4 linked regions of the Astyanax mexicanus genome follow. The protein of the gene in region 2 purifies or fractionates together with the protein of the main gene of each other region. This does not show direct contact. Links are inferred from orthologs where the notes say so. Each region holds a gene or a part of one and is shown on either strand. Other genes may lie near its edges.

Evidence for each region.
Region 1: the proteins of ywhae1 (region 2) and cep170aa purify together in Homo sapiens (affinity purification with mass spectrometry; 3 studies listed by BioGRID and IntAct, with this or other methods). This does not show direct contact. The link is inferred for Astyanax mexicanus from reciprocal best matches to the Homo sapiens genes YWHAE and CEP170.
Region 3: the proteins of ywhae1 (region 2) and kif1b purify together in Homo sapiens (affinity purification with mass spectrometry; 3 studies listed by BioGRID and IntAct, with this or other methods). This does not show direct contact. The link is inferred for Astyanax mexicanus from reciprocal best matches to the Homo sapiens genes YWHAE and KIF1B.
Region 4: the proteins of ywhae1 (region 2) and frmd6 purify together in Homo sapiens (co-immunoprecipitation; 3 studies listed by BioGRID and IntAct, with this or other methods). This does not show direct contact. The link is inferred for Astyanax mexicanus from reciprocal best matches to the Homo sapiens genes YWHAE and FRMD6.

What each region holds. Positions count from the first base shown.
Region 1 is NC_064414.1:22,580,693-22,588,107, forward strand, and holds the start of cep170aa (centrosomal protein of 170 kDa), read right to left. Parts: upstream 3,019-7,415; 5' UTR 2,870-3,018; intron 1-2,869. Other genes in the region: sdccag8 (serologically defined colon cancer antigen 8 homolog), read left to right, coding at 5,182-5,245, 6,258-6,395, 6,893-6,981.
Region 2 is NC_064425.1:15,960,774-15,968,770, reverse strand, and holds the start of ywhae1 (tyrosine 3-monooxygenase/tryptophan 5-monooxygenase activation protein, epsilon polypeptide 1), read left to right. Parts: upstream 1-4,975; 5' UTR 4,976-5,226; coding exon 5,227-5,290; intron 5,291-7,356; coding exon 7,357-7,556; intron 7,557-7,649; coding exon 7,650-7,756; intron 7,757-7,997. Other genes in the region: adapter molecule crk, read left to right, coding at 81-218. UniProt on the Homo sapiens protein: Adapter protein implicated in the regulation of a large spectrum of both general and specialized signaling pathways. Binds to a large number of partners, usually by recognition of a phosphoserine or phosphothreonine motif.
Region 3 is NC_064420.1:40,775,590-40,783,399, reverse strand, and holds the start of kif1b (kinesin-like protein KIF1B), read right to left. Parts: upstream 3,021-7,810; 5' UTR 2,783-3,020; intron 1-2,782. Other genes in the region: ube4b (ubiquitin conjugation factor E4 B), read right to left, coding at 6,362-6,426, 6,593-6,739. UniProt on the Homo sapiens protein: Has a plus-end-directed microtubule motor activity and functions as a motor for transport of vesicles and organelles along microtubules.
Region 4 is NC_064414.1:38,906,354-38,913,341, reverse strand, and holds the start of frmd6 (FERM domain-containing protein 6), read left to right. Parts: upstream 1-3,968; 5' UTR 3,969-4,369; intron 4,370-6,988.

The sequences.
Region 1 (7,415 bases), on a different chromosome or scaffold from region 2:
CCCTTTGCTGGTAGGCTAGCTCATTAACTAGCATTGACGACCAGGATCTTACAATTTTGTGTATAATAATAGGTTTCACTGATATTTTTGACACTATGAACTATGAACATCAGAATCCTGTAGAATGTATAAGTTAGGCTTAGTTACACACATGCTGTACATTTAAACTGCATAGGACTTTAATTATTACATTGTAACAATTATTTTCAGTTAATGGAACAATATTTTTTTCTGCTACTCAGTGATATTAAGCCCATTAATTAAACCTTATTTACACTAATTAACACAGAGAGACAGTTTACTGCAAAATGCTGTTTGAAAGTAGGCTATATTTTCCAAATTGGACTTAACTATAACACTGACAAAATTATTTTCAGTTAATGGAACCATATTTATTTCTGCTAATCAGTGTAATTCAAACATTACAATGATTACATTTTGATTTTGATTACATTGTATTTTGTAGCATCTGACAGCTTCAGGTTTACTGATTACTGATTAACTAGTGTTAGCTTTAAACTAATCATAATATTTCATTTCTGTGGATGTATTTTGGTGTTTGGGGTTCACTAAAACCTCTTTCATAAACACTAATAATTCTAAGCAGAATCCACCAGCAGCTCCTATTATTGTTAGAGTAATGTAATTTAAGTTTAATCTAGCCATTTTGACTATCATAGAAGACAAAGGCCTAAACTCATTTTTCAGAGGCACACTCAAAACAGAGGGCCTGTAGTACCAGGTCTGCCTTGAAGCAAAGATAAATAGGCCACATTTTACAAGCACAACATTTAAAAAATCTAAAACTTGTTGCTAATCTAAATTACAAGGACCCTCATAGTGTCATCTAATAGCCCAATGCTGCGGCCCAGTAAAGCACAGTTTCAGTTTGAGAGAGGAGAGCATCTGGCCATGGGAGAAAGCATGGCTCCTGTCCAAATATTCCAGTTTGAGCAGTAGGAGGGAAAGGAGAAGGTAGTCTGTCCCCCATTGCTTTGCTTTGTTAGACGTGTTAAACGTTGACGTCCTGTAGCTAACTGTTATCAGGTTTATATGTTCCAGTTTTCCGATGTTTCTTACTGTACCTATATTGTTCGTATTATGTTTATTTTTTACCAATACTCTTAGCTTAGCTAGTTAAATATATATGGAGAAATTAATGTGAGCGTAGCTACAGCCTGTCTAGTCTAACTCAAAATAGGTAGAACTGAGAGAAAGGAACTGAAATAAATAAATGTATACAGCACGAGTCCCACCGGGATCCCCCCTTTATCCAGCAGCACTCAGCTAACCTAGCTGTAGCCCTGTGGACATGATCAGCAAAGTCGAACCGGGGTTTGCTTTGTTATCGCCGGTTATAGCTGCGTGTAACCTACAGTGTACTACAGTGTATTAACACTAGTTAGGTTACCGTTTAGTAACATATTAATAACTAAGGGAGCGATGTTGTGTAAAGAGCGGAAGCTATCCAGCGGGTTCACTGAGGCTGAATGGAAATATTCAGGCCAGATGTAGCCAGGCAAAAAGACAGACAGACAGAGAGAGAGAGAGAGAGAGAGAGAGAGAGAGAGAGAGAGAGAGAGAGAGAGAGAGAACACAAAGGGAACTCGACCAATGCTTTAAATTGTGTCCTTTAACACTGGTATTCTTAGGACATCTCTGTAGGGCATGAGCAGCTAATAATATAATACACATTTTAAAAATACGATATCTAGGTTAGGTAGCTATACTTCTTAACGCCCTGTTACCATTAAATGAGAATTCGCATTAACCACATTAAACCTACCCAGCTGACACACAACCGACCTTTAACATTAAAATGTGGTTGAAATATGATTGAAGTAATGTCTGTTGTTGTTTCAACGTTGAAACAACATTTAATGCTAAATGGTTGTGCAAACGTTAACATTTTTTACGTTGAATCAACATAATGTCCTTAACCTTCTGCCTTTTGAATGAACATTTTACATTTCATCACCATACAATTAAAAAACGGTTGGATAGAGGGAGGACAAAGTAGTTTTACTTCCATTTGCAGGAAATTCTTAAAAATTTGGCACCAATTCTTCACCATATCTGGGGGTATATTAATGTTCAGTTTGTTTTACTGTGTTTATTAACACTCTTAACCAAAGTATTTTCTAGTTTAAGTGTGCTATGGTTTATTAAAGGTTAAACGTACAACGTTGAAACAACGTTGCCATATCAACGATAGTTCACTTTTCAAAATCAACACCAAATCCAACGCTGATTCAACCATAACATAAATGTTGATTCAACGTTGAAATGCCAGCTGGGTAGGATTGATGGATGCCTGAATGATACTGAAAGACTGATCTTATAATTTAGCTAGCAATCCATAGTTAAATAAATTACTGAAATCCACTACACATACGTAAACGCGTGTTTTTCATTATTACAAACATATTCCAGATGTTTGAAACGTTTTGCACATATTCAAAACCCACGAATAACGTTACCCACAATCAAATCAGGATCTCTGAGCCATGATGCTGCCACAGCTCTGAAAAACACAGATCTGGCATGCTGATTGCACACGTTGTGATGCTGCTTGAAGTTCTGCCGGCCGAAACGCGTCTCTGCAGCGAATTTTACACCATTAATCTAAAATAGAACTGAATTCATCACATATTGCTCTATGAAGAACATCCGATACGGCCTCGAGTCAGTAACGTTAGCGTTGCTAACCTAGGTTATAGGAAAGGCAAGAAAAACGTTTTTTAGACACGCCAACAATAAGCTAGCGTTAACGTTGCCCTTGCTGCCGATGCACCATTAAACATCCATCCATCATTCCGAAAAATATAACTAGCAATATAATATTGATTGACATATTACTGTTACTCACCCCTTTCTGTTCCCCTTTTTGTGCAAAGATCCAATTCAGAAGCAGCCCAACGGTTTTCAGTGCCCTGCCCAGTATGTGCTCCTACGTCTCAGTTGCTCAGCAATAACGTTATTCCTAACAAATAGCGGCGACCTACGGCAGGCTGGAATCAGGCAGGCAGGACATCATAGCCAGAGCCGGGTTATTAAGAGCCCGCCCACTTTCTATTCTCTCCGTTATTTCAGTCAACGACTGCTAACCTCTAGAGGGAGCGCGTGAGTGAGTCTTTAATAAATGAAGGAGAATGGAGCTAAACGGCTTAAAACTCAAATTAACAATAGAAACGAAATACTTATCCGGATTTTCCTTTAATTCCCTGAAGATTTTTTTTTCTCTGCAAAAACTAGAAAAAGTATCTGTATGTTTCCAATTTTCTACATCAAACAGTTTTTAGGCAGTAAAGATGCTAGCGTTACTGCTAAACAATGCTAAATAGCACATTTAAAAGGCTTATACGCTTTAAAATGATTTCTGTGGCACTGAAACATTTAATATTTTTCCATATTAAAGAAAATAACTACATTTGTCAGGATAAAAATAATAAAATATTTATAAATTTAACATCTTTGATCGCAAGACCCTACAGCCAATAGTGAGGAGAGCTTAGAAGACCAGTCTCTCTGCCCTCTATCACCGACATCTACACCACACGCTGCATTCACAAAGCCACCAGCATTGTGGACGAACACACACATCCCTCATGTGGACTCTTCGAAGATACCGGAGCATCCGTGCCTCCGCTAACAGACTGTGCAACAGCTTCATCCACCAGGCAGTCAGACCTCTCAACACACAGAGACGGAGCTAAACCCGCTCATCACACATCCAACACACTCAAGCCCAATTTATACTTCTGCGTGAAAACTACGCCATAGCCTACGTGTATCCAGGGAGAGTGTGCTATGCGGAGTGCGCTTATACTTCTGCGTGCACATATCAGCAACTCTGTGTTGCTCTGCCCTTAGTCCTTAGCCCTTAGTTAAACCACGAAGGCAGGAATGTGTGGGAGGAGATGCGAGATGTCCTCGTCACACGACGCGTAGTTACATTTGCAGAGAGATGCGAATCGAGCTATGGCGTAGGCAACGCCGTAGGGCACACAGTGAAGCTTAGGCTACGGCGTAGGGTATGGGGTGACGCATAGGCTACACCGTAGGTTCGACTCAAAAGTATAAATTGGCCTTAACACAGAACTAAACTGAACCCCCCCACCTCTCTTCACGCACAAACACACACACACACCGAAATGTCTATATCCCTATTAGCAATATTTGCTGCTTCATTTCACAAAAACTAGAAACTCTCTATCTCAGTTACTGCTGTGATCATGTATGTTCTATATGTTACAGTATGTTACATATCTCAGCATATTATTCTTAGTATTGGTACTGCACTGTCCTGTCTGGTAAACTGTCTGTTGTCTTGTCTTGTCTGTTGTTTTTATTGCATTTATTGTAGTGTTATAGTTTTATGTTACACTTTTGCACTTTATGTTGTCTATTGTTTTGTTGTTCCATTTTGCACCATGGTTCCAGAGTAACATAAATTCAATACACTGTGTACTCAGGTGTGATGACAATTAAAGCCTGTTGACTTGACTTGACATGATAAACTATGATTTTGCCCAATTGCTCCATATAAAACCATATAATTTATGCACATAATCAAAACAAATACATATACAGCGCCCTCTAGTATCTGAATTTAAAAGTGACAAACTGGGGGAATACATTCTCGAGTGGGTCTTCTCCTCGCTACAGGCTCTCTGATATTACAGCAGCGCCAGCGTCTGCAGTTCCAACACAGTCCAGTGGGCGTGGCCTCAGCGATGTTGTCATCGCGCACAAAGACGCGTACCATGTTTTAAAAACTGTATTTTAAATATAGATACGGCGATTTTATTGTAATACATACATGTTTGTGATTTTAGACAATGATTTACGCGAAAATATGATTGCGTTTTTTGTCTTCATCGTTCATTAAAATATTAGCATCTTCCAATGTGTAGTTTTTACCCTCGTTATCCCCGTTCTCAGTATCAGGGAGGAGGTCACCGTGGGACTACAGTTCCCAGCAACCTTTGCGGGGACGTTGACGGAAGTTTGACCTGTGATTCGAGTGTTGACGGTTAGGGACTCAGTCACAGGTTGTAGTTCTGCAGAGCGTTGGGTTATTTTAATAATATTATAGATTTTTTAGACGGGACTGATTAGAGTTTGTAGCAGGTGATTAGGCACACATGTTCTGACGAGCTTCAGTTAATCCAGGCTAAAATGAAGCCGTCGCTGGACTCGGACGAGGAGGAGGAACTGGGAGCTTATCAGAAGAAACTGAGAGGTGATGCTGCTTAACGTTAATTAACTAAAATTAACGTTACGTTGCGTTGAACAGAAAATAAACATGCCCTTAAAATCCCGTGCGGTAGACGTTTTAGACCGTTTTTAATTATTTGCATGTTCGACTGCTAAACTAACTAACCTAGCTTTGCAGAAAAGTAGCGAATTATTAGGTCAAATCTAGTGTTGTGGTTTAATATAACTTAAAATAGTTGTTAAATAAAGTAGTTTTTAAATAAAGGCATTTCATATGCTGCCTCAAATGCCCAGTGAATATACATATGTTCTTTGAGTTAAACCGAAATTTTAAATGAATCTTAATTTTATCTGAATGCTGTCTTTTCTTACAAAATATTGTATATATAAAAATACATAAATATATGCAGTACCGGTTAGAAGTTTGTATACGCCTTCTCATTCAGTGGTCTTATTTTTACTACACTGTGAATAAATACTAAAGTCATCCAGACTATGATGAACACATAAAGAATCATGCAGTAAGAAACAAAGTTGAAAAAAGATTTGAAACTTGAAATATTTTTTTAAAAACTGCTACTGTGGTTTTATTTGTAAAATTGTTTGTTTTTTACTAAAAACAAAGGTACATAGTATGATAACCAACAATTGACACTGTGTTATTCTTACCTGATACGTTTCTCTACAATGCCTGATTTTACACCAAATACACTTGTTTTTTTTTCTTTATTCATTTTTGTCATTAAATAGTCCCAAAATTTATATTGTTTTTATTATTATTTAAGCTGTGTAGGGTGGAGTCAGCTAAAACTCTTTAAACCCCAAATCACCACTGGCATATCAATTATGCATGCTCCCCTGACATTTTCATAGCATAATAAAAAGAGTAGCCGATATGCTTTGTAGCTTTACACAGACTCAGATGTTCGAAACAGTGTAAAGGGTTGCAGTACAAAACTCTGTTGTTGCTTTGTTTCTTGTAATCTTGAGTGTGAGACACTTCAGCAGTTTAATCTGTATTTTATATATTGCCCCAGAGCAAGCCAACCGCAGTATTCAGCAGCTGAGCAGCATGCTGGCAAACCAGAGCTCTGAATCCGAGGCCTTGGAACAGGGAAGCAGTGATAACAGCATGCAGGACAGCTCACAGCAGCATGTGCAGCAGAGTGAAGCAGGTATGCCTCCGATCCATAGACAGTTAATGCGAAATATGATAAAATGTATGTATATCAGAATATACCATAATCAAGCATTTATTTATTTCAGACACATTATTTACACCCATCTTTTCAGCTTTACTGAGCATATAGGACATTTTGTAGAGCTACAATTACAGGTTGTAGTTCTTCTATTTCAGTGATGAGCTTCTGTCTCTGACTTTACATTTACACGCTGGAGCAGCAGGGTAGGACTGTATAATAGATTGGACATTTGTGTGTTTAAAAACTCCAGCAGCACAGCTGTGTCTGATCTACTCCTACCAGCATAACATATATTAACACACCACCACCATGTCAGTGTTAAACAACAGGGTGAAACGAGAAAAATCACGTATGCAGAGAAACAGAGGGCAACATTCTGAAATTATATATATATATATATATATATATATATATAGTTGTCAGTTGTCAGTTATCAGTTGTCAGTTAAGTTCTCTGCTTTTATTTTTCAGCCAATCAGCTGCGTTCTTTGCTTCAGAAACAGCCCCGAGAATCACAAGTTCCGTCTCTTTCTCCTTCAAAAAGGAAATGTGCTCTCAAGGTAGGTTACATGATTTAGGTAATAAAGCATGAACCAAGAAGACTAGTAAGTAATAGCTCTCTTGTAATTTTGCATATTTACACACACACACACACACACACACACACACACACACACACACACACACACACACACATATATATATATATATATATATATATATATATATATATATATATATGTATTGTCTAGGAAAGCACAATACAATTAAATTGTTGTTTCTTAAGGTACATACAATAAATAGGTATGCCTCTTTTACTTTCCAGGAAGAAAAACTGAAAAAATGCATAAAAAACAAACATGTAAATATGCCATTCTAGTGCTAAATGCAAGAGTAAAATGTAAAGAAATATAAAATACCTTATTGTAGTTTTAAATTGGAATCACTTAATCTGCTGAGTTTTAGTAAACTTTTCTTCAGCACTATACAGTAT
Region 2 (7,997 bases):
ATTTTCTTGTTAGTACTGTTCACATTTCAGCAAAATACATTAAACTACATCCCTTTTTTGATCTCAATGCTCTGCTTTAGGTTGGCGACTTGGTGATGGTGACCAAGATCAACGTAAATGGGCAGTGGGAGGGAGAGTGCAAGGGAAAACGGGGCCATTTTCCCTTCACGCACGTCCGCTTACTGGATCAGCACAACGCAGACGATGACCCAAGCTGAGAGCGGAGACAGACTTCCCTGTACAGCCCTTAGACGCGCACACACACACTCTCCTCACATCTCCTCATAACTGACATGCCCAGCAGTAGCCTCTTCTACTAGATCCTTTTCCTGTCTATCCGCTCATTGTTTTCGTGCCATCATGTCGTTCATGCCAATATATACACTATCTGCAGTAATTTCCTTATTAGACCTTATGCAACCATTTGAAGTTACTTAAGTAGACACTAAACACTACGGACATCTCTATAGGTTATCCTAAGCGGAACTTTGGAGTGTGGCCTAAATATTGTGAGTTTGAGAGAGAAGAGATATCTGCTTGGACTCTAAATGTAAGCAGTGGGGTGTTGCTGTAAGGGACTGTTCCTCTGCATTTGAGTAGCATACACTACTCATACTGATTTGCTAAAAGATGACTGCTACAAAGGGGATTAGTTTGAGCCCTTTATCACACTACAAATCATCTGCCATGTGATTCCATAAAAGGTGTCTGAAGAAATACTGATCATGCTCATATTAATGTTTACTATTACATGCTTAATTTGTATTCCTTTAACCGTTTGTTTTTGTGCACACAGTAATGCTTCAATTGACTTTTGTTAGTTAAAGAAGTGTCCCCTTCATTTCCTGTTGGTCATTACAGAGAAGCTATTCTGGGCAATGAAGACTTTTTTTTTAATTTGGAAGACACCAATCAGTTTTTATAAAAGCACACATAATGATATATTTCCACTTGTGTGCCTGCAAAAAGAAGTCTTTCATTGGGTTTAATGTATAAAAACATTGTGCTTACAAACCTCTCTACAACATCCACCTAAAATGCTATCATGTGCAGATGCTTCAAGAACAACTCACTTTACTACTTTGATATACACTGTAAGATTTGATCACTACATGTAAAGTGTTAACTCAATGCCTCAAACACCTCCCTATCTAAAACTCTTGCACATAACAGTAGCCTTCATCTACAATTGTTTTATGTGTCTGTGCTCCAGCTGAATTAGTGTTTTTCTTTTTAAATAATGTTTGTGATCATGCATCACTGCTTCATAGTGGGATTTTCTCCTAGGAGGTGATATAACACAGTTCCATTAACCAGCAGTTTGCCTTTATTGCAGTTCAAAAACTGAATTAGATAATGTCTAATCTAGTCTGACAACCAGATTGGGAAGTTAAAAATACTGTACTAGAAGGACTTGTAAGCAAGATTTGTGATTTGAAACATTTGTAGTTCATATTTAAACATTAAGTTGTGGGTATGGGAAAATGTATGAATCTGAATTAGGTCGTGTTCACATTACAAAGCTGAAGTGACTCAAAATCAGATTTTTTGCCTGTATGTGCCAGATCAGATTTGAGTGTTTTTGTTTTTTTCCCCCTCTTCTTCCTTCCTATTGTTTCTCTATATGTGGTACTTACTGGATATATATCCGGTATGTTGGAACGTGAAAAATGGAACATTCAGATCAGATTCATATCTGTAGTGTGTACACTTCATCAGTCAGCACTGCTGTTAGTTGAATTCTGTCTCCCAACCGGAATCTGAAAACGTGCGTAAATATATCTTTGTGCACATGCTTGTTGGTTCAGGGACAAATTCATTCACATTACAAATAACTACAGATCATTTACATTTATGAATGTGAAGCATCGAGACGGCCAAAACCGATTTGAGCAAAATCAGAACTGATTATTGAGGCATGTAATGTGAATGTTGCTTTGACGAACAAACCCATAACACTAATGGAACTACCATCAGAAAATAGTTAAGACTACACTGATCATGTTTGCAGTTTTTTGAATGGCTATGTTTTACGTTCTGTCACTTGAACAAGGACAATCACCTGAAAGAATTAAGCTTCTATCATGCGGGAAATATGAAGGTTGGGTATGAAGTAATAATAACTAGTCAGGACAAGCAGCCAGATTGTCACTCAAGTCCTGTTATTAACGGGCTACTTGTCCATTGAGCTATGAAACAAACAAAAAAATAAGTATTTCCAATTTCCAAACGTTTAAAAGGCCAAATAAAATGAATATGAACATTGTTAAATATAACACTACAGCTTCAACATCATTCCAAAGTGTTCTGTTCTCTATCGCAAGGTAAAAAGGATAAAGTCTTACTAATGCACATCATAAGTGCCACTTTAAGCTGTGTCTAGATTGACTGACTGAGAAATGTAACTTTGCCCATGTTTTTATTTTTATTATTTGTACTTAAAGTATTATGTTTACTGTCTAATCCTACAGTCCATTAGTGAGAGTAATATTATATATTTTTTGTGATGTTCATTTTTGTTCACATAATGCCCTTCACAGAACAGCTTCAATATGGGTCAACAATTTTTTTTTTCTTTTGGATCAGCCTGTTCCTGTACATGAAATGAAGTTAACTCCTATAGTAAACCACTTTAACCCCTTTAAATGCTGAGTTTGTCTGTGATTTTTAAAGGCATGCCAGAATAATCACTTTTATCTGAACCATGTAACATCTCCAAAATTAGAATTCATATAAAGAAATATCTGTAACATATATGTATGGTCATGAACTGTTCATACAATGCAATGGATCGCTTTTTGGCCAATATCAAAACCCATAATTGCAATAAATTATATTAGTAATTTTAAGACTGTAGGAATTGTGATAATTTAATAGCATAATAATACAAATACACCCTTTAAAAGAGCAGTTATTTTCTTAAGGTGTCAGATTATTTAGTGCATGTAAACACTCATTAGCTACTGAAATGTTTTCTACTAAATCATTATACAGCTTAATGGATCTATGGCTAAAAACAAAACACAGAAAATGAGTTTTGCTACAGAGAAACCTGTCTCGTTATCTGATGAACATTGGGTGGAAAGATAATGCTAGACAGAATGAGCTATTGTAAGGGGGCTTTTTGTTCATTTTGTGAGCTGTCTGGTTTAGGTTAAAGTAGTGACAAGCTTTGTCTTTGTAATGACGCATGTTTTAAATGCAAATCTGGTGTTCTCTTTCAGCAATTAAAAGAAAGAGAGGTAAGACGAGGACTGTTTAGCTGTTCCACAAATAAATGCTCTAAATGAATCTTTTAGAATAAAACATCATTAATTTTACTCAAACATATACCTAAATAGTGAAATCAGAGAAACTGATTCAGAAACTGAAGTGGTCTCTTATTTTTTTCAGAGCTGTATATGTATATACAGGTCCTTCTCAAAAAAATAGCATATTGTGATAAAGTTCATTATTTTCTGTAATGTACTGATAAACATTAGACTTTCATATATTTTAGATTCATTACACACAACTGAAGTAGTTCAAGCCTTTTATTGTTTTAATATTGATGATTTTGGCAAAAAAAAGTAAAGAAAATAAATTAGCATATTTCATCCAACCAATAAAAGAAAAGTGTTCTTAATACAAAAAAGTCAAGCTTCAAATAATTATGTTCAGTTATGCACTCAATACTTGGTCGGGAATCCTTTTGCAGAATTTACTGCTTCAATGCGGTGTGGCATGGAGGCAATCAGCCTGTGGGACTGCTGAGGTGTTATGGAGGCCCAGGATGCTTCGATAGCGGCCTTAAGCTCATCCAGAGTGTTGGGTCTTGCGTCTCTCAACTTTCTCTTCACAATATCCCACAGATTCTCTATGGGGTTCAGGTCAGGAGAGTTGGCAGGCCAATTGAACACAGTAATACCATGGTCAGTAAACCATTTACCAGTGGTTTTGGCACTGTGAGCAGGTGCCAGGTCGTGCTGAAAAATGAAATCATCTCTATAAAGCTTTTCAGCAGATGGAAGCATGAAGTGCTCCAAAATCTCCTGATAGCTAGCTGCATTGACCCTGTGGACCAACACCAGCAGCTGAGATGGCACCCCAGACCATCACTTACTGTGGGTACTTGACACTGGACTTCAGGCATTTTGGCATTTCCTTCTCCCCAGTCTTCCTCCAGACTCTGGCACCTTGATTTCCGGATGACATGCAAAAAATGAGCAACAGTCCTAGTGCTGCTTCTCTGCAGCCCAGGTCAGGAGCTTCTGCCGCAGTTTCTGGTTCAAAAGTGGCTTGACCTGGTGAATGCGGCACCTGTAGCCCATTTCCTGCACACGCCTGTGCACGGTGGCTCTGGATGTTTCTACTCCAGACTCAGTCCACCGCTTCCGCAAGTCCCCCAAGGTCTGGAATCGGCCCTTCTCCACAATCTTCCTCAGGGTCCGGTCACCTCTTCTCGTTGTGCAGCGTTTTCTGCCACACTTTTTCCTTCCCACAGATTTCCCACTGAGGTGCCTTGATACAGCACTCTGGGAACAGCCTTGCTTGCTTGAGGGTGTCAATGATGGCCTTCTGGACAGCAGTCAGGTCGTCAGTCTTACCCATGATTGCTGTTTTGAGTAATGAACCAGGCTGGGAGTTTTTAAAAGCCTCAGGAATCTTTTGCAGGTGTTTAGAGTTAATTCGTTGATTCAGATGATTAGGTTAATAGCTTATTTAGAGAAGCTTTTCATGATATGCTAATTTTGTGAGATAGGAATTTTGGATTTTCATGAGCTGTATGCCAAAATCATCAGTATTAAAACAATAAAAGACCTGAAATATTTCAGTTGGTGTGCAACAAATCTAAAATATATGAAAGTTTAATTTGTATCATTTCATTATGGAAAAGAATGAACTTTATCACAATATGCAATTTTTTTGAGAAGGACCTCTATAGTATGTGAAATTAAATTGCATTAAGAGAGAGCTGCATGTTGCAGTATGTGTCTGTAAACTTTAGGACAGGTAGGGAGGGAGTAAGTGCTCTAAGCAGGGCTGCTCCCTCCAGCCCTCTGTTGTACAGGGCTGAAGTTCCCGGATGAGCCTCTCTCGCCATTTTTGCCCCAGTGGCGCCGGCGGACAGCGGGGCTTCAACACGGTTCAGGCTGCAGCTGCTTCTCCTACGAGGGCCTGCCGCTTTTACACACACTCCTTTACCGAGAATCCGTCGCTGAATAGGCTCGTGTCACACTTTCCAACATGGCTAACCGGGAGGACTTAGTATACCAAGCCAAGCTCGCCGAGCAGGCGGAGAGATACGACGGTAAGCGGTGTTTTGTGGTGAAAGCTGACTGGGCTAATGCTAATGCTAACGTTTACCGTTAATACTGCGGGCTAGCGGGTCTGTCTGTGTTTCTTCGGGGCCAGGTTTAGGATTAAAACGGGGAGCTGGGGGTGAGAGAGGTGGATAGATAACTGAACTGCCTTCCGATAGAGGTGCTTTAACTTGGCGTTAATTGTATATAGACCCAGTGAGGCTAATTCGACCGTTATTATTCGCTGAGGGACGGTGTGAAGATGGAGACGGTACTGGAACCGACAAAATGGCGGACAGTTATTGGGTGAGGCAGGCTGTTGCTAGCCGAGGCAGGGAGCAGTGGAGACCTCTACACCCCGGTTGACCCCGATAGCTTTAATTATAGGTTACGGGTAGCTTGACCACACGAACCTGCAGGTGTGTGCGTGTGATGGAATGACTGCCTGGCCGCTGTAAAACATCGCAGGTTAAGCTAAGCTAGCCTATGTAACCTAGCTTACCGTAGCTAGCTTGTAGCGCTAGTTACGCTGCAGCAATGCTGGTGCAGACCGGCTAGCTAGCGTTAAATAGCTTTCATAAAGCCTGCTGACTTGGGTGGCTATAAAGACAAGTGATTAATGGTGCTAATTTAGCTAGTTAAGCACCAGAGGGTGACCTAAACTGACCCAAAATGGGAATTGAACACTGTAGGTTTAGTCTGTAGCTAGCTAACCTAATGTGCCTGCTGTAGTAGGCTAGCAGTCATTGTGTAAACCCTCCTCCTGTGAACCATGTGAATGCCGTGTTCAGCAAAAGCTAGGTTAGTTTAGCTAACCAGTTAAATAACTAGGATTATACTCACTTCCCCAGTACAACAGTTGTTGTTGCCATGAAAATAGACATTAAAGATTACTTAACATCCTATATAAAGAGTCAACAATGTACTCGAGTGTATAGCTAGTCGTTTTTTAGCAAGTCATAACTCAGTTTTTTCCTTAGTAATATTTTAAATTTAAGTTTTAAAAGCTTTACAGATTTATAAAGACACAATGACTTGGCATTATTACAAGGACAGCCTATCCTTAATGTGTTTTGACTAGTCATATGGGAATTCACTATCTTATAACTTTAAGCTCTGGAACAGATTGAGGCCACTTTAGTTCTCAATCAGTTTCTTTGATTTTGCTATTTATATGTCTATGTTTGGGTAAAATGAACATTGTTGTTTTGTTCTATAAACTACGCATCACATTTCTCCCAAATTCCAAATAAAAATAGTCATTTAGAGCATTTATTTGCAGAAAATGAGAAATGGCTGAAATATCAAAAAAGATGGAGAAGAAAACAAGGTCATATTGGTTTGATGACTTGTGGTTATTAATCTTCCTCTTGATTATATTCCAGAGATTTTTTAATTTGGTAAGATCAAAGAAACTCATTTTTAAGTGGTCTCTTAATTTTGTTGCTGTATACTCCTTTACCTGTAGGTAACTACACTGTTATTCTTGCTAGTTAAAATGTATAGTATTACATGCCTAGGATTTATTACTAATCAAAACTATATTAGGAATATTTGTCCTTGTCAATTTAATTATGGATATGTGGCCCAGGACTTATAACAAGTAAAAATTACACTGTGGATATTCAGATATCTTCAATTTCCACTAGTATTTTTTTTTTTTTACACAGAGAAATATTTAGTGCTAATCAGTGGCAATATAGCTATGACTAATCAAAATTATACTAAGAATAAGTAATCTTGTCAATATGTGTAGTTAGTATGGATTTATAGATCTATAACTCTGATATCAACTTTCAAAGCTTACCCCTGAAATTATATTTAGAGTGTATACTAATAAAAGCTCTAGTACATGGATCAGTAATTTGAGTGAGTTTTTACTTTGACTTGTTTGCTGAAGTCATATTAAACCAAACAGCTTCTACATCATATGTATTAAATGATGGTGAGAATCTGCATTCACTAATTGTAGAAAGTAGAAAACGTGTCTGTACCTCAGTGCTTGGCATAAGCTCTCTGTGTATAAATGTGTTTGAGTGAGAAACTGCTAATTATTTGCTTTTGGATTTTGCAGAGATGGTTGACTCCATGAAGAAAGTGGCTGGCATGGACGTTGAACTCACAGTTGAAGAAAGAAATCTGCTATCAGTGGCGTACAAGAATGTTATTGGTGCACGAAGAGCATCCTGGAGGATAATTAGCAGTATTGAGCAGAAAGAAGAAAATAAGGGTGGCGAAGACAAACTGAAAATGATCCGGGAGTACAGGCAAACGGTAAGGCGTATGCTCCGCCTGACCCATATCTGATAGTTTTATATTGACAGTATGACTGGTTCTACATCTCAGTCTCCCATGTGTCTTGTTCAGGTTGAGACTGAGCTGAAATCAATCTGCAATGACATCCTTGATGTTTTGGATAAGCACCTAATTCCAGCTGCTAATTCAGGAGAGTCCAAGGTCTTCTACTACAAAATGTATGTAGTCTGCTGTTTCTCATATGGGGGTGTTACTGAATTAAATAAAAACTCTTTAGATTTTATGGTCTCAAAAAAAAATACATGAAAATGCACATTTAATTTTAATGTTAATGAGTAATGTTTTTCAGTGCCACCAGATTGTATCTTTAAGAGTTTTTAGTTGTATTTGATGTGAAATGTTTGACTACTCAAAATGAAAGTAAAGAATGACCACAATTCCTGGCTTGTGAATGTCATG
Region 3 (7,810 bases), on a different chromosome or scaffold from region 2:
TTTCCTATATAAAAGACAGATGGATGACAGATACAAAACACGCACACGCACACAAATGGCTTCATAACGCAGAGCATAACCATACAGAATGTAATTTATCAGAAACATAAAATAGGAATAGCAGATAATCTCGTATTTGTTCAGAATATCTTTTAACAGCTTCACCGTTAGATGCTTTCCTCTCCGCCTCAAACATGGCTGCCAGTAAACTGCAGCAGGGATGGGCCCACTTTCCTCCAGCTCAGCTCAGCTGGAGAGATTATTACTGTTATTAATCACACCACTCTCCTCATTATTACACCCTATACATCGTATATATACCATTAACGAGGATAGATACCTTATATCTAACTAGCTAACTAACTATCTATATAGACAGGAAGGTTAGGTTATCTCAATAACCCAAATCACAGCGTTATTAAACAGCGATGCATTAGCCCCTCGTTATTTAACTGTAAGCTAAAAACTGAACAAGCTCCATTGTCCCTCCTGCTCTTTCTGTATCATTTCTGCTACATGATGGTCACACTGTGTGCTGTCATTCGGGCAGCTAATGACCCTTAAACACCTTTAAATAAGGATGGTTTCACTCCTGCCCTTGTAGGTTAGCTAGGTTGGCTAATAGCTAACAAACACAGCCAGCTTTTCCACCGGCATACGCCCATGAAATAATCAGCCGACTGGGCCACAGACCTGCAACAACAGTATCATAGCCACCCAACTATCTTATTTGTTCACCACAAAAGAGGGAGAGAAAGGGACTGTGGCAGTCACTGACCCTTTAAACATGTAAAAAAAAAACACAATTTCCTGCTTAAATCTACCCAACAAAATCATGTTTGGCTACATTAACTATATGGTTAGCTAGTTAGCTAAAAAGATAGATGAAAACAGATTGGGAGCAAAGCCCATCATATTTTAATGTGACTTCCATGTGAATTAACAAACGTTAGATTAGCTAAACTAATCTATATCAACAACCTGAGCTTCTACTGTTATTATCTTCTGACTTGAGTCACTTTCGTTATAGAATAAGGTAGCTAACTAATACATAAATAGTTAAAACAAAAAGCTGATGCAGCTTTCCACTGTCATCTTTAGCTATAGCTATAAGTGCCATTTATTTCACCTATAGAAAAAATAAGGACTGGCCTAATAACCATTACAGCTATTTTATTATCTAGCTATAATGGCTGCAATAAGGATAAACACTACTTGCCTAATCTATCATTTGCCTTGGCATCTTAACATTGCATCCAAAAAAATGAAATAATTAGAAATTCTGTCAAAAATAGTTAGATAACTATACAATAACAGAAGGGACAATTTGTGAATTTGCTTAAAAATATAAGGAAAGAATTAGTATGTAATGTAATGTAACAGTATGTCTGTTTCAGCTAGTAATTATAGATAAATAGGCATAGCTTATTTTTATTATTTTTTTATTTTATATGTTACTTCTTGAATACTTAGTTGTTAGTTGTGGATAGTTGTTACTATGAAATAAAAAACTAATATGTAACCCATCAAGCTAGTTAACCCATTTTTCTAACAATAAATAATTCATCTATTTACGATTTAATAAAAAAGGAATTATGAATATTAAGGTGATAAAAATAGCTACATTTTAATACCTCTTAGACATGTCACCCTGCTAGTTAGTTGCTTTAACAAAAAAACGAACCAAGATTCGTTGACATTCGTCAACATTAGCATCAAGGTGTTCTGTCGAGTTGTGCTACCCATCGTTTTGTAGTATCTCCCGGTTCTGCGCATGCGCTGCCACATAATTCTAAATATTTTTAATAGTTGTCTGCTCTCCTCGAGTGAGAACATTTAATATGACAAGCTCACTGTTGTTATTTTCATCTGCTTAAGTGCTAAACAGGTGATATAGCAATTCAAATCAACTAATAATACTAAGATATGTCAATTACGCTAGTTAATCTTCCATATAAAATGTTGTTTGCCCTTTATATACTAAATATACTACTTAACTAGCTAGACACTGTTTTACAGTAGTGTTTAACCATTTCAGGCCTGAATTATCTCAGTGCTCTGGCTGGAAAAAAAGTAAGAAAGCGGTTTTCTGTTTGTAACGCACAGAAAAGAAGACTCTAATATTCTACTATAAAATCTATACAGTAAATGAATGAACTAAAACCAAAAAAATATTTTTTTTTTCATTTCCATTACATTGGAAGCCTGTGTGTAATATTTTCACTATTTCATATTGACCTTTTTATTTCATAAATCAGTCTTAAACAGTTAAATACATGATTAAAAAACTCTCTAAATCTAAATCACAAAATTAGTAAAAATGACTACTGTTTTTTTTTTTCTTCAGAGCAGTGGGCAGGGCCAAGTTACAGTTTTAATGTTTTATAAACTTGTTTATTGGCTGGTTCATTACCTATTCTGATAAACAACAGCTCTCAAATAGTTTTATGAGCAACAAAACGTTTTAAAATGAAGAAAATACATGATGTCCATTGTACTGGGTGCAGGGTCTGAAAGGGTTAAGTAGCCAAAGAGGCACGATTTGACAGGAGAGCGCAACCCGACAGAACACCGTGTGTCCTCCAGTCCGAGCCGTTTACCGTTAAATAGCTAACCTAGCTAGGTTAGCTAACCGCTACAGTTACACTGCAGCATGCCAATAAACCACAAAACAACAATATAGATATGTTAACGATTTAAAATAACGCTAAAACAGCTGTTGTAACGCAGTTATCCAGTTTTAGCTAGCGTTAGGTTAGGTAGGCTATCTAACGTTACTCACCTCCTCAAGTCCTCTGGAAATCCAAAGCCAAGTACGGGAAAATGCAGCCTAAAACGTCTTTATACGTGAAGCAACGATCAGAGCAGGCCGGCAGAAAAATGTTTAAAAACTCCACATATGCTATATACACCCATTATAGCAGCATTTCTCCCACAGCGTCGATTTCAGCTCTGTTTTCTGGTGCCGCTCCTCCCGCTGCCGCTGCTCCAGCTCTAGCTAACACACGGCTGAATGCCTTGATTTACTGAAACCATTACGTCAACCGCCCCGTCACCGCCTTCACCCAGAGCTGCAGGGACCAATAGCGTGACAGAATCCTTTGAGTGACGTACGGCTTAGCCAATCAGTGTCAAGGAAGCGTGGAGAGTGGGCGGGCCGCGTGTGACGCGATACTTACTGCAGGATGGCTCCGTGCTCCTGCAGGCAGGCTGTGCCATGGCATGGAAATGCTGGAGAGCAGGAATAGAGAAATAAATACTACAGCAGAGCAAATAACACGGGAAGGACGCCGCCTAGCAGCTGAAATGAGTGTCTGCTGCAAAAAGGATGCATCTGCAATCAAATCACAGGGTCTAAGATTATATTACTGCTTTGGTGCAATGTTCTTATTGGTGCAACATTCCATATTTATACAGCTTTTCATACTTCCCATGTGCATTTTGTCTTTTATAATGCTTGTTTGCTTATTTATCTATGTATTGTCTTCTTTTATAGATGCTGACATATTTTAATGAACTGTTTATACATGTTCTTTTTATACTGGCTCTGTTGTTCCCTCTTTCTGCACTCCAAGTTTATCTATTTATTGTCTTTTTATAGACGCCTACAGCTTTTAATGAACTGGGGAATGTCAGTGATCAGCTCATTTATGTTTGCTTCTTATTGTGACAACATGACTGTAAATATGTTAAGGTTAAAATCCTGATGTAACACAAATTACAACAATTTTTTATGATCTGCATTTTAACGCTTTGTTCTCGAATTTGTCAGAACCAGTTTTATAGAATCTAAAACATTTTATTAAAGCGTTTTAATGGTTAAATGGCTGAAACAGACCAAAAAATAAATCTAAAATCTAAACTTTTAAAATGAGCTAGTTTTTTTTCTCCAGCACTAGGTTACCAGGACTGCACTCCAACCTACATTATTTTATAATGCTTGTTTGCTTATTTATCTATTTATTGTCTTTTTATAGAAGCTGACAGCTTTTAATGAACTAGGAATATTTGCGTCTAACTGAAATTTATTACAGCGATCACCCAAAACCATTTCAATCACCTAATTTATACCCAACTATCAATTATATTATATTATATTATATAAATTATAACTGGATTATTTTAATACCTGCGTCATTTTTTTCACATTTTTTCTTACACTTTTCACTGATTTTATTAAAATTAAATCCATAAGAGCCCAGACCCAATCTGAATATTGATACAAAATTTAGTTTATTTCTTATTGTGGGCACAAGACTGTATATTACAAGGTTTTAAAATACCTGTATTATTTGTTGAACCAATTATATGGAACACACAATATTTATTTAAAGCGTTTTAATGGTTTAAACGGTTGGAACAGACCTGTAGAAGCTAAAAGTACAGTTTCAAAAGGAGCTGCGTTTATCTCCAGCACTAACTCAGCACACCTGCATTCTGTAAATTAAGAAGATCAGATAATTAAGCTCACATTCACACACTGTCCTTAAGAAGTTTATGAGTTAAAATGACAGACAAAGTGCTGTAAGGAAATTTCTACATCTCTTAAAGGGTCTGTGACCCTGTGTTTATTTTATTATTATATTTATTCAATGTATGGTCTTGATTTTATGTCCTGCTGTACTTTTGAATCTAATATTTATTTTCTATATACTAATTTCTTCAGTTCGATGTCTGGCGGCATTGTACACAAGGAACATCCTCAAATGTATTCTAAGTGTAAATAACCCTTGACTGACTGATTGATTAAATGATTGATTCATTGATTCTTCTATCTTGTTTCCTTTGCTTTTTGCTGCTGTAACTGAAAATTTCCCTGAGGTGGGACTACTATCAGAGCATCTTATCTAAGTAAACACAATGAGAAGCCATTGTGCACTAGGTTGCACTTCATTACAGCAGTACATTTTAATAACTGGCTATACCTTTGTATCTTTTCTGTGTCAAATTCACAATTAAAATTATTAAAAGCTTATTTGAACTATGAACTAGCTACATACAAATGCAATTACAACAGCTATTTGTGCGAGTGCATTACCATTTATTACAGTTTGTCCTGGGTTCAAAAAATGTTCATAGCAAAGGAAGCTAATTCCTGTCAAGTTAAATGTTTATGTCTCAGGAAAATGACATTCATAATTCAGCGTGAGCTCCAACAACCAAAGATTAATACAAACAGCTGGATTGATGAACTTTCTCAGCATATAAAACCGTGTACGTTAAAGAAAATACATTTGGTTCAGTGGCACTTTTCTCATGACGATCATGCTATCGAAGCTGCTTTACTTACTTTCGGCTGAGCTCAGCTTTTTTAGATTTAACAATACGAGAATAAAAATAAAATAAAGTTAAAGGTGGTGTTTGGGTGGCCTTGTGCTGTAGGCTGGTGCTTCTCAGCCCTGGTCATGGAGGCCCATTGCCCTGTACTGTTTAGTTCTTCCCTGCTCCCAACACTCCTCATTTCATAAATCAGCTTTATTAAGCCATTATTGGGTGTAAGTGGGTACATGTTAAAGCAGGAAAAGCACTAAATGTACATTGCAGTGGGCCTCCAGAACCACAGTTATTAATAACTGCTGTAGGCCATTCACATATGATCATTTAAAGTAAACAACAGTGGAAAAAAAAAACATTTTCAGTACAGATTCAGTCATCATTTGATGATGCACTGACATTTTTTTCTTCAGCAAATCAACACAGTTATTTAGATGTACTAAAAGATGATCTAGTATGCTCTTTTTAAACAGTTTCTCCACCTTCAGAACAATGTATAGATAGACATTTTCATAAACGTAACATGAAATTTATGGCCAATCCTTAATAGTAACATGTTTTATCCACTTTAATTTAATTTTATGTAGATTCGCAACATAATTAAAGAAAAATTCAGGAAAATGTTTCCTGCGCTTCTTTCTAAATGAAAGGTCTCCCTAAATTGGAATATTGAATGCCAAACACAATAGCTTCAGAACATCAGACAGCAGAATAATTACAATTTGTAGAATATTTTGCCTGTATCTGTATTTCTCACCTGATTTTTCCAGGTTGAAAACCTAATCTTTCAAAACCTTGGTATGAAACAATTCAGTTAAATATATCTGCATTTATGTAATATACACAAAGTCATAAGCAAAACCTTTTAAAAGTCTAAACTTTATTATTATGTTTCAATTTAGAACCAACAGCCTTTACCTTGACGGCCCAGGAAAAAAAAACAAAATAAAACAAAAAAAATGATAAAGGGAAAAAACTCAAATTAGGTTTCATGACAGTTTTTTTTTTCTTCTTTGCTTTCTTCCCTTCAATCTGTTCCAAGTCAAATTCCATATTGAAACCATCCTAAACTGGCTGCAAGTGTGGCTCACTGAGAAAAGCGTCCTTGCTTCTCCCTCATCCACGCATGAATACGCTCCTTCAGCTCTGGAACTAAAGAGAAACACATTAATTATTATTATTATTATTATTGTTATTGTTATTATTATTATTAATACTATTAATATTATTATTATTATTAACAACAGAGGTGTGTTAACAGACATGCTATAAGGTTAAATTCAGACGTTTATCTGATGAGTAAAACGGTGGTTTGTACCTGACTCCAGCATGCTTTCAGTGAGAGGCTGTCTGTTGAAGGGGTCGGTGGGCGAGTTGAGGAGATGGCGCAGGATGATGGCTCGGTCCATTATGTTTCCAGAAGGCAATATCACAGGGTCAGTCATGAGAGTGTCCATCAGAGGGTCTGTCAGGATAATAAAAAGAATCAACAAACGATGGGGATACGCTCAGTGTTAAGGTAGACAACAAGTTTATTAGACATTTATAGTCATTTACTCAAGTCACAAGAGAATTAACTGGCATCTGGACTGAAAATGTGAAGCATGTGAGGTAGGCCTGAACTGAAAGCCACAAGCTGCTGCCTCAGAGAGGTTTTTGCCTTTGACACACAGCCTATGCTGATGTTAGTAGTGCACTAGAACGGGGGAATGGGTTAAGCTAAGGCAGACACACATCATGTTTAGTTCCTGAACAGAGGTACTGACAATAGAATACGACTCTCTGCCAGGCCTGGGCTACAGAAGTACTAAACTGAACTATGGAGCAGTGTTCTGGAAGGACTGTGTTTCATCCCATACTTATGGGATGAGCTGGGCTGCTGATCAATAACTTGACCCCACTAACGAGGGTTCATAAACCCTGTTTTTGAATGCAGTCAAATCCTCACAGCAATGCTTCAAACTCCAGTAGAAAGCCTTCTCTGGATATTAGAGACAGTTACTCCAACAAAAGCAGGAAAAACCTGTTTTAATACCCTTGATTTCAGAAGAAACCATAATTGAGTAGAGGTGCTGGTATGTTTGAGGCATAGAAGTGAATCCACACTATATGGACACCGTTGGTAAGGTGTTCTTTTCATAAAATGAAGTTCTTATTTTATCTCAAAATGTATTTTGTCCACATATAGAGTCCACATCACTCTAAAAAGTAATTCAGCCTCTTAAGATGATCAGTACCACACTTTCTGACAATTTTCACTGAATGTTTAAGCTGATCCTGGGTAGCCATACGGGCGTTGATTTGCCAGTCTTGTCAGCATATGAGCAGTTCTTGCTGAGAGTTTTCTTAATTCTTTCAGATCTCATCTCGACCTCCACAATTCCCCTGAACTTCCATTTCTTAAAGGAGAAATCCAGTGGGAAATGGACTTTTTGAATAGGCCACCTATGCTCCAAACAGGCTTACAATGCTAGCAATAGGGGCATAGCATAGCCCATGCCAAGAAATCACTATTTTGGAAAAGCATGAGTTTCAG
Region 4 (6,988 bases), on a different chromosome or scaffold from region 2:
TTGCTGTCATAATCTCACATGCACCTAATCAATATTTTAGAGATTAATCTAACATTGATTTTTTCTGATTGGTCAATTCATCTAAAGATTCGTAATTATTGATTTATTTAAAATGATATAAAGACAGCATGTAGTTTACTACACTTCTACTTATGCACTTCTTTTAAACAGTGCACACTGTGTGAGGTTTGGAATACAGTTTGTTTTCATTGGATGAGGCCATCTTTATCTTTTTGATGCACTGATTCACATTTAGCAAATTGATGCATTTCTGTAATCAGCGAATTGCCACAGCTCTACTACCCAATACTTAACATCACTTTCATGGGTCCTAAACTGATACTCAACCAAACTATATATTATAAATAATTCACAATAGTTTCTAAATAATAACAGAAAAATATTTAATAATATTGTAAACAATAAGATTACATTACATTACATTACATTTGGCAGACGCTTTTGTCCAAAGTGACTTACAATAGTGAAGTACAAAAGTAATAGAAGTTAAATGTAAAACATCTTTAGATAGGGCCTAAAGGAGGTCAAAGGGAATAACGGGATAGAGGAGTGAAGGAGGGGAAGAAGGAAATGAGGTTAGAAGTAGTTAGTGTGTTAGAGGTGTTAGAAGAGTAAGTGCTCTTTGAAGAGCTCTGTCTTCAGGAGTTTCTTAAAGATAGCAAGAGATTCTCCTGATCTGGTAGTAGAAGGTAGTTTGTTCCACCATTGGGGAACTCTGTATAAGAACAGTCTGGATTGCTTTGTGTGAATGTTTGGCAAAGCGAGGCGACGTTCATTTACATTACATAAGAATGGTCTACATGGTTAAACAATGTAAAGTAAAATAATATTCTTTAACAATTAAAACCTAAAAAAATATATTTGTATATTGAGTTTAAAATTGTTTACGTTTATGGTCAGGCTTAGGAAATTCATATGTAGTAAAACACATACCCCCAATATAAGGTAAACTCTATAACCTGACATTTTCTGTAAACAAACCTGTATGTGTGTTTGTTGGTGCTTCACAGCTTTGCAAAATGGCTCCGCACCTAAAACTGGCGGAGGTCAAGGCAAACAAACACACGTGATGGGAGAGCTCGGAATAGCTGCAGGCTTTGGCAAGAGAGCAGCATCTCTGGTTTTATTGGCCATGCCCTTCTACACTGACCACACGGCCCGTGTGAGTGGTGTGTGTGTGTGTGTGTGGATTACATATGCTTGTTTGTTTGTTTGCTTTCTACTCTCTCTTCTCCTCTTCTCACACGTGTGAACGAACTCCCCATTGCTACTGGGCAGAGCAGGTATACACACTCTCACGGGGCTGTGACCTGGAATCATGTCATTTAGTTTGTTTATTTTTCATTAGTCCTGCTTTACACCCCTCCCCTCCCCAAACCCTCTGTCTCTGTCCTCCCTCAGGGTGTAGACTTACTCCTCCACCATCTGTCCTGCAGAAAGAGGCTGGGGACAGCAACACAACACTGTGTGTTTGGGTGCAACAACAGTGTGTGTGTATGTATGTGTGTGTGTGTGTGTGGGTACAGTGTATTTGTGCAGGTGGGAATTAGCACACTCATTGAAGTTTGTAGGAGTGCCTCTCTTGCCACTCTTGCCTCTGACCTGGTGTGTTACCTCCCTTTGACCCCCACCCCATTGGTTCCCAGTGGGACCCTGAGACTGATAGGCATCAGCAGATGCTCTTCTGTTCATGATGGCACCAGTGAACCTGATCTGATGGTGACACATGGTGGTGGTGAAGTCTCAGAATCATTTATGAGGAACAGTGTAAAAATGGGTTGTCTGTTCAAATAAAAAACTTTGGTGTTTCATGTGATTCTTCAAGAAACGTCATAGTATAACCTATTGCTGAGGAACCATGTTTGTCGTAGTGTGTGTTTGTTTGAGTGTGAAGAATCTTTTATAGGTCTACTTAACCTTCTACTGATACCAAAAAAGTAGCAACTAATTGTGAAAAAATAGTTACTAACTGTAATCAATGTAAATCAGTAAATAAATAAGTTAGAAGGATAAAGGTAGATATGTAAAATAATCCATCACTTTTAAAGTAGTATTTCATTACTGTTATATAAACCATTTAATTAGCATGTTTTAATGCCAAACATTTTGTCTACTAAAACAATATGATTAAAAGATAAAAATTACTAGTACATGTATTTACATACATAGATGTTGTTCTGTTGCTTATAGAGCTTCTAGTTTAAAATGTTTTGCTGAATTTAGACACCTTTTCAAGATGTTCCTCACACATGGGCCTTATTCAACGATTGTTTTTTTTAGAAGGAATTTAGTCTTAACCCCACATATGTAGTTTTCTGACATTAAACTAATGTTTTTTACACAATTTATACAGGGGATTCGTTATTAGAAGATGTGAATGTTCTGATCTAATGCAAAAATCTACTGGATTTTAAGGGTATGAGGAATTCTATAAACATACAGTACTGTACATACATACATAATGTGAATTAAATTTCTTTAGATTGTTTGTTATCTTTGTTTATTTACCCCCGTGAAGTGCTGGTTATGGTTAGGGGCAGTTATAGATTCTATGAGCACAAATCCATACACTTGTAAAGGTAAGAATATTGCATAATTAGTGAAAGGTGAATATTTAATCTGTCTTCATCTTTGTTTTGTTCTGTGGAGCAGGCAACCTTCAGCTCCTTAGCTGTGAACTGTGAACAGCTACTCACACACACACACACACACACACACACACAGAATGAGATGACCCCAGGCAGTTCAAGTCATGGTAATGTATTTGCAATTTGATTCTAGAAAGCTCTCTCTGAACACAAAGTACTATGACTACTGTGAATAAATACTTTATGAGATCTGTTTCTAAAGCCTTTCTGGTCTACTCAGGAAGGAGGCTGTTGATTTTACTTTTTTTAGGCTGTTTCTAGAGAAAGGAAAATGTCACACCTGTGCATTCCCAGCACTTTCCTATGGCCAACAACAAATTCTCTTAGCAGAACAAATGCTCTTTGAGTATTCTTCAACACAGATGTTTCTAAACCAACACAGGCTTTGGCACAAATACTAAAGATTGCAGTGAAACTGCTAGATTCCTTTTTGCTGACTAAGTTGTATTAAAGAATGGTTCACCAATAAAAAATGTTTTTCACTTCAGTTATCCCCACACCCCAAAGTAAGTGTATCTGCCAGTGTTTTGTGTCTCAAGTTTGATTCTTGAGTTCTGCAGTGAAGACTAACACAATAGAGGTCGTTAGACCCTTTGCCATTCAAATCCTTGGACATTAACGACTTCATTTTCCTGGGAATGTTTCAGCTTTGCTTGACCTGTACAGGAATCAGCTTTTTTATTTCTGAAAAGTCATCAGGATTAAAAACGCTGTCCAATGATGCACCCAATGACCCATACTGTCAGCTTTAATTTATATGTCACTGTTTTGCCCTGTAATGTGTCAAACTCTATTCACATGTAGTTTCACAGGTAGTTTCCTTGATATTGTACTGGGTCTTCTTACCTAACCAAGACTTTTATTGGCCTTTACTTGTTTCATCTACTTTTTTTTAAGCTTATATGAGACACCACATGTGATGACATATCCTGATCATTGTTGGTGTGCTGGTCAAAATCTAAAACATACCCTGTGCTGGTCTGGTCAGGGTTGTTTTTTTCAGGAGGGTAATTAGCTACAGTAGCTCCTGTGGAAACTTAAATGAATACTTCTTTGTGAAAAGAGCAGAAGGGAAATTTTGTAACAACTATTTTTTTCCTAAACTTTTTTTACAGCCTCTCCTGGACAAAAAGCAGCGATTCATTAGGCTACAGTAAAACACACCCTCTAGTTTAGCTACATCAGTCTATTACTATTCAGCTATAGGGGCAATGAGCCTATCCCAACTGAGTCACGCCCTCTCTGCCCCGCTCCTCTGCAATGAGGTCCCGCTGCTGGCGCCATGGCTCCCCCCTCCTGCACTGCTACAGTTGGGAAGAATGGCATGACAAGCAGCCGTGGAGCATACCAAGATCTGCTGGACTGGGGGAGGCGATAGTGCACGCTCACTTTTTCTCATATCTTCAGTTCAAACAACACAGGCTGCTTCTTCAAAGGCGTCCTGCGTTAACGCGAGCTGAGGTCCTGTCCTGGTATTTTACTGCCACACTTTTACCACCCCCTGTTTCTGCTCAGTTGGGTCATTCCACCCAGCAATTCCACATGTTAGCGTGAGTTGTTAGCTCTCAGGAGCTGCTGCTGCAGTTTTCCACTCTCAGTCGATGCTGGACGGGACGTATAAACGGGATTAACGCTATTAACTGGGCTCGTTTTGGATTAAATTGTCTTGAACGGAATTGGCTGATCTTTTTTTCGTAAAGGTGAGTATATTTAATATTAGTTCACATCATCCCTTAGCCCTTATTATTCCCCTTTAGTACTAGTATAGAGGGTTGCTGCAGAATCTGAAGTAGAGGGGGTGAGGGGGTGAAGGGGGACTGCTGCTTCAAACAGTTCAGATCCCCACATGTCTGAACATTCAACGTGGCAGTATGGAGAAACTGGCACTCATCAGGCGCATATGACTGCAGAGGATAGCTGTAACTAGCTGTTTAGAGGGAGAAGAGAATTGTGGGCTCATCTCCTGTCCAGATGATCTCTTGTGTGCATATAGAATAAGTATACTTTTGACCATAAGAAGTGACACAGAGCAAAAAATGAAAAATGTAAATCTAAATAGAACAATATAAACAAGGAGATTTCTCCTCTCTCCAGTTGAAAGTTGGGTGTTTCATGCTGAATCCCTGATGGAACCAGTCCGCCTGCTTTTGGTAAGGTGAGACGCTGCGGTTCGCACAGCCGCGCACTTTGCTCCACTTTAACAGGACAAGAGTCTGGAGAAGATAGCGTAAGTTCATTAAATCTAGGAGGACAGCGGATAGGATACTGTCTCAGTCTCTCACTCCCTCTGTGACCGGTTATAACTGCTCATATGTCTGCTCAGTGTGGAAATTCCAACTTTTCCATGCAGCAGCAAAAACATCAAAGAGGCAAAGAAAACGTCCTGTGTGGACATCTTCTGTGGACATCCAGCTCTCATTGATACCAGTCTCTGAGAAAAGCAGAATATAATAGTCCTGGATACTGCTGAGCTATAGTACTGAGTAATGTTAACTAACTACACATATAAATAGTGTAACCCTGTAGAATTGAGTGATGATAATCTAGCCCATAAAAATGGTGTAAAAGATTTTAATTCAAGCTGGATAATATACTGGATATTCTGGAAAATATTACAGATAAATTCACGAAAAATCATGATAACCTTTATGATTTGTTAAAGTTATCTTAAAGCAATCTTGTATTGCATTAATGCACAAGGATTGGTAATGTAATCTAATTTGATCTGACAATGTTAACCTATTGCATTTGTTAATGATAAATGATGCCATATTGGATTTGTTAATGTTAACCAATATTACCCGGTAATGTTATAGAATTAATATCAACCTATAGGATTAGATAATATTAGCCTAAAGGTAATGTTAGGTAATGTTAACCTAAAGATAGTGGTTCTGTTATCCTAAAGGATTTGGTAATGTTAACCTAAATTATTTGATAATGTTGGTACTGTTAACCTCTAACATTTGGCAATGTTTATATATGATATTAGGTAAAGTTAATAAGAAGGATTAGTAAAGTTAACCAATTGGATTTGGTAATGTTAAGCTTTAGGAATCGGTCATATTAACCTATAAGATTTAACAATTGTAACCCATAGTTACTGGTACTATTAACCTAAAGAATTCTGTAATGTTAACATTAAGACTTTGGTAACATTAAACTATAGAATTAGGTCATATTAAGCTGTATGTTTTGGTAATTTTAACCTATAGGTTCTAGTTATGTCAACATGAAGAGTTTGTAATGTTAACCCATAGGTACTGGTAATGTTAATAGATAATAACTGGTAATAACATAGAGGTACAATAGTAAAATAATAGTATCCCACACAATTTGATAATGCTAACATTTAGAATTGGGTAATATTAGTGTGTAGGATTGGGTTATGTCTATCTGTTTCACTGGCTAATGTAAACCCACTAAGGAATGTTGATCAATTTCAATCAGATATTTTGAACCAGTTGGATCTAAATGGTAAATCTAAAGAACTGTTTTAATTTGTACTGCTAAATTAGACTATAAGTGAGGACAATGTACAGTATGTGCAGGTAGTGTCAATTTATCTAATGATGTACATTTCTTAAGTCCTGTTTCCCGATGTTCTGCTTTCCTCTTTAAAATTCTTTCTCTCTCTGGATGCTCTGGTTTTCTTGTTATCTCTCTCTCTCTCACTCTCTCTCTCTCTCTCTCTCTCTCTCTCTCTCTCTCTCTCTCTCTTTCTTTCTCCCCCCTCCTCTGTCCCTCTGTCCCTAACTCTGTCTGTGTCTGCTCCCCTGTTCCATACTCGGTTTCTGTGACCAAATGGCTCCAGGACTGAGGAATGTTCACTATTTCCTCTGTGTAATAGTAGTACACTGCAGCTCACCACCACTCTCAACAAGCTACAAGCTACAAGGTCTCATCCAATACTGTTGTTAAGATGCGTCTGACTGTATATCTTGGTTTCTACTGCACTATTTATATTATGGTATGTGGAATATATGTGTAAGAGTTAATAGATAATAAGAGAAATCAGATCATTTTGAAATTAAGTTAGTTTTGTACGAGGGCACTGAAATAAAGTGGCATGTTTACAGCAGAGCTCCTAATTGATTAGATGTAAACATTCAGATCCTCATCATGTCAACATCCTGGCTTTGGGATGGTGTGTGTTCTTGTTGTTTTTTCCACTAAAGCTGTGGCTTTGTCCTTTTTGAACTTTAAAGCCTGGATTAAACTTTCCACCTCGGATTGAAAGTGTGGTGTAAATATTCTGAATTTGATCTCGATGATAAGAATAATCTTCGACTGTTGGGGTTTGTGTTAGATTCTCTTGG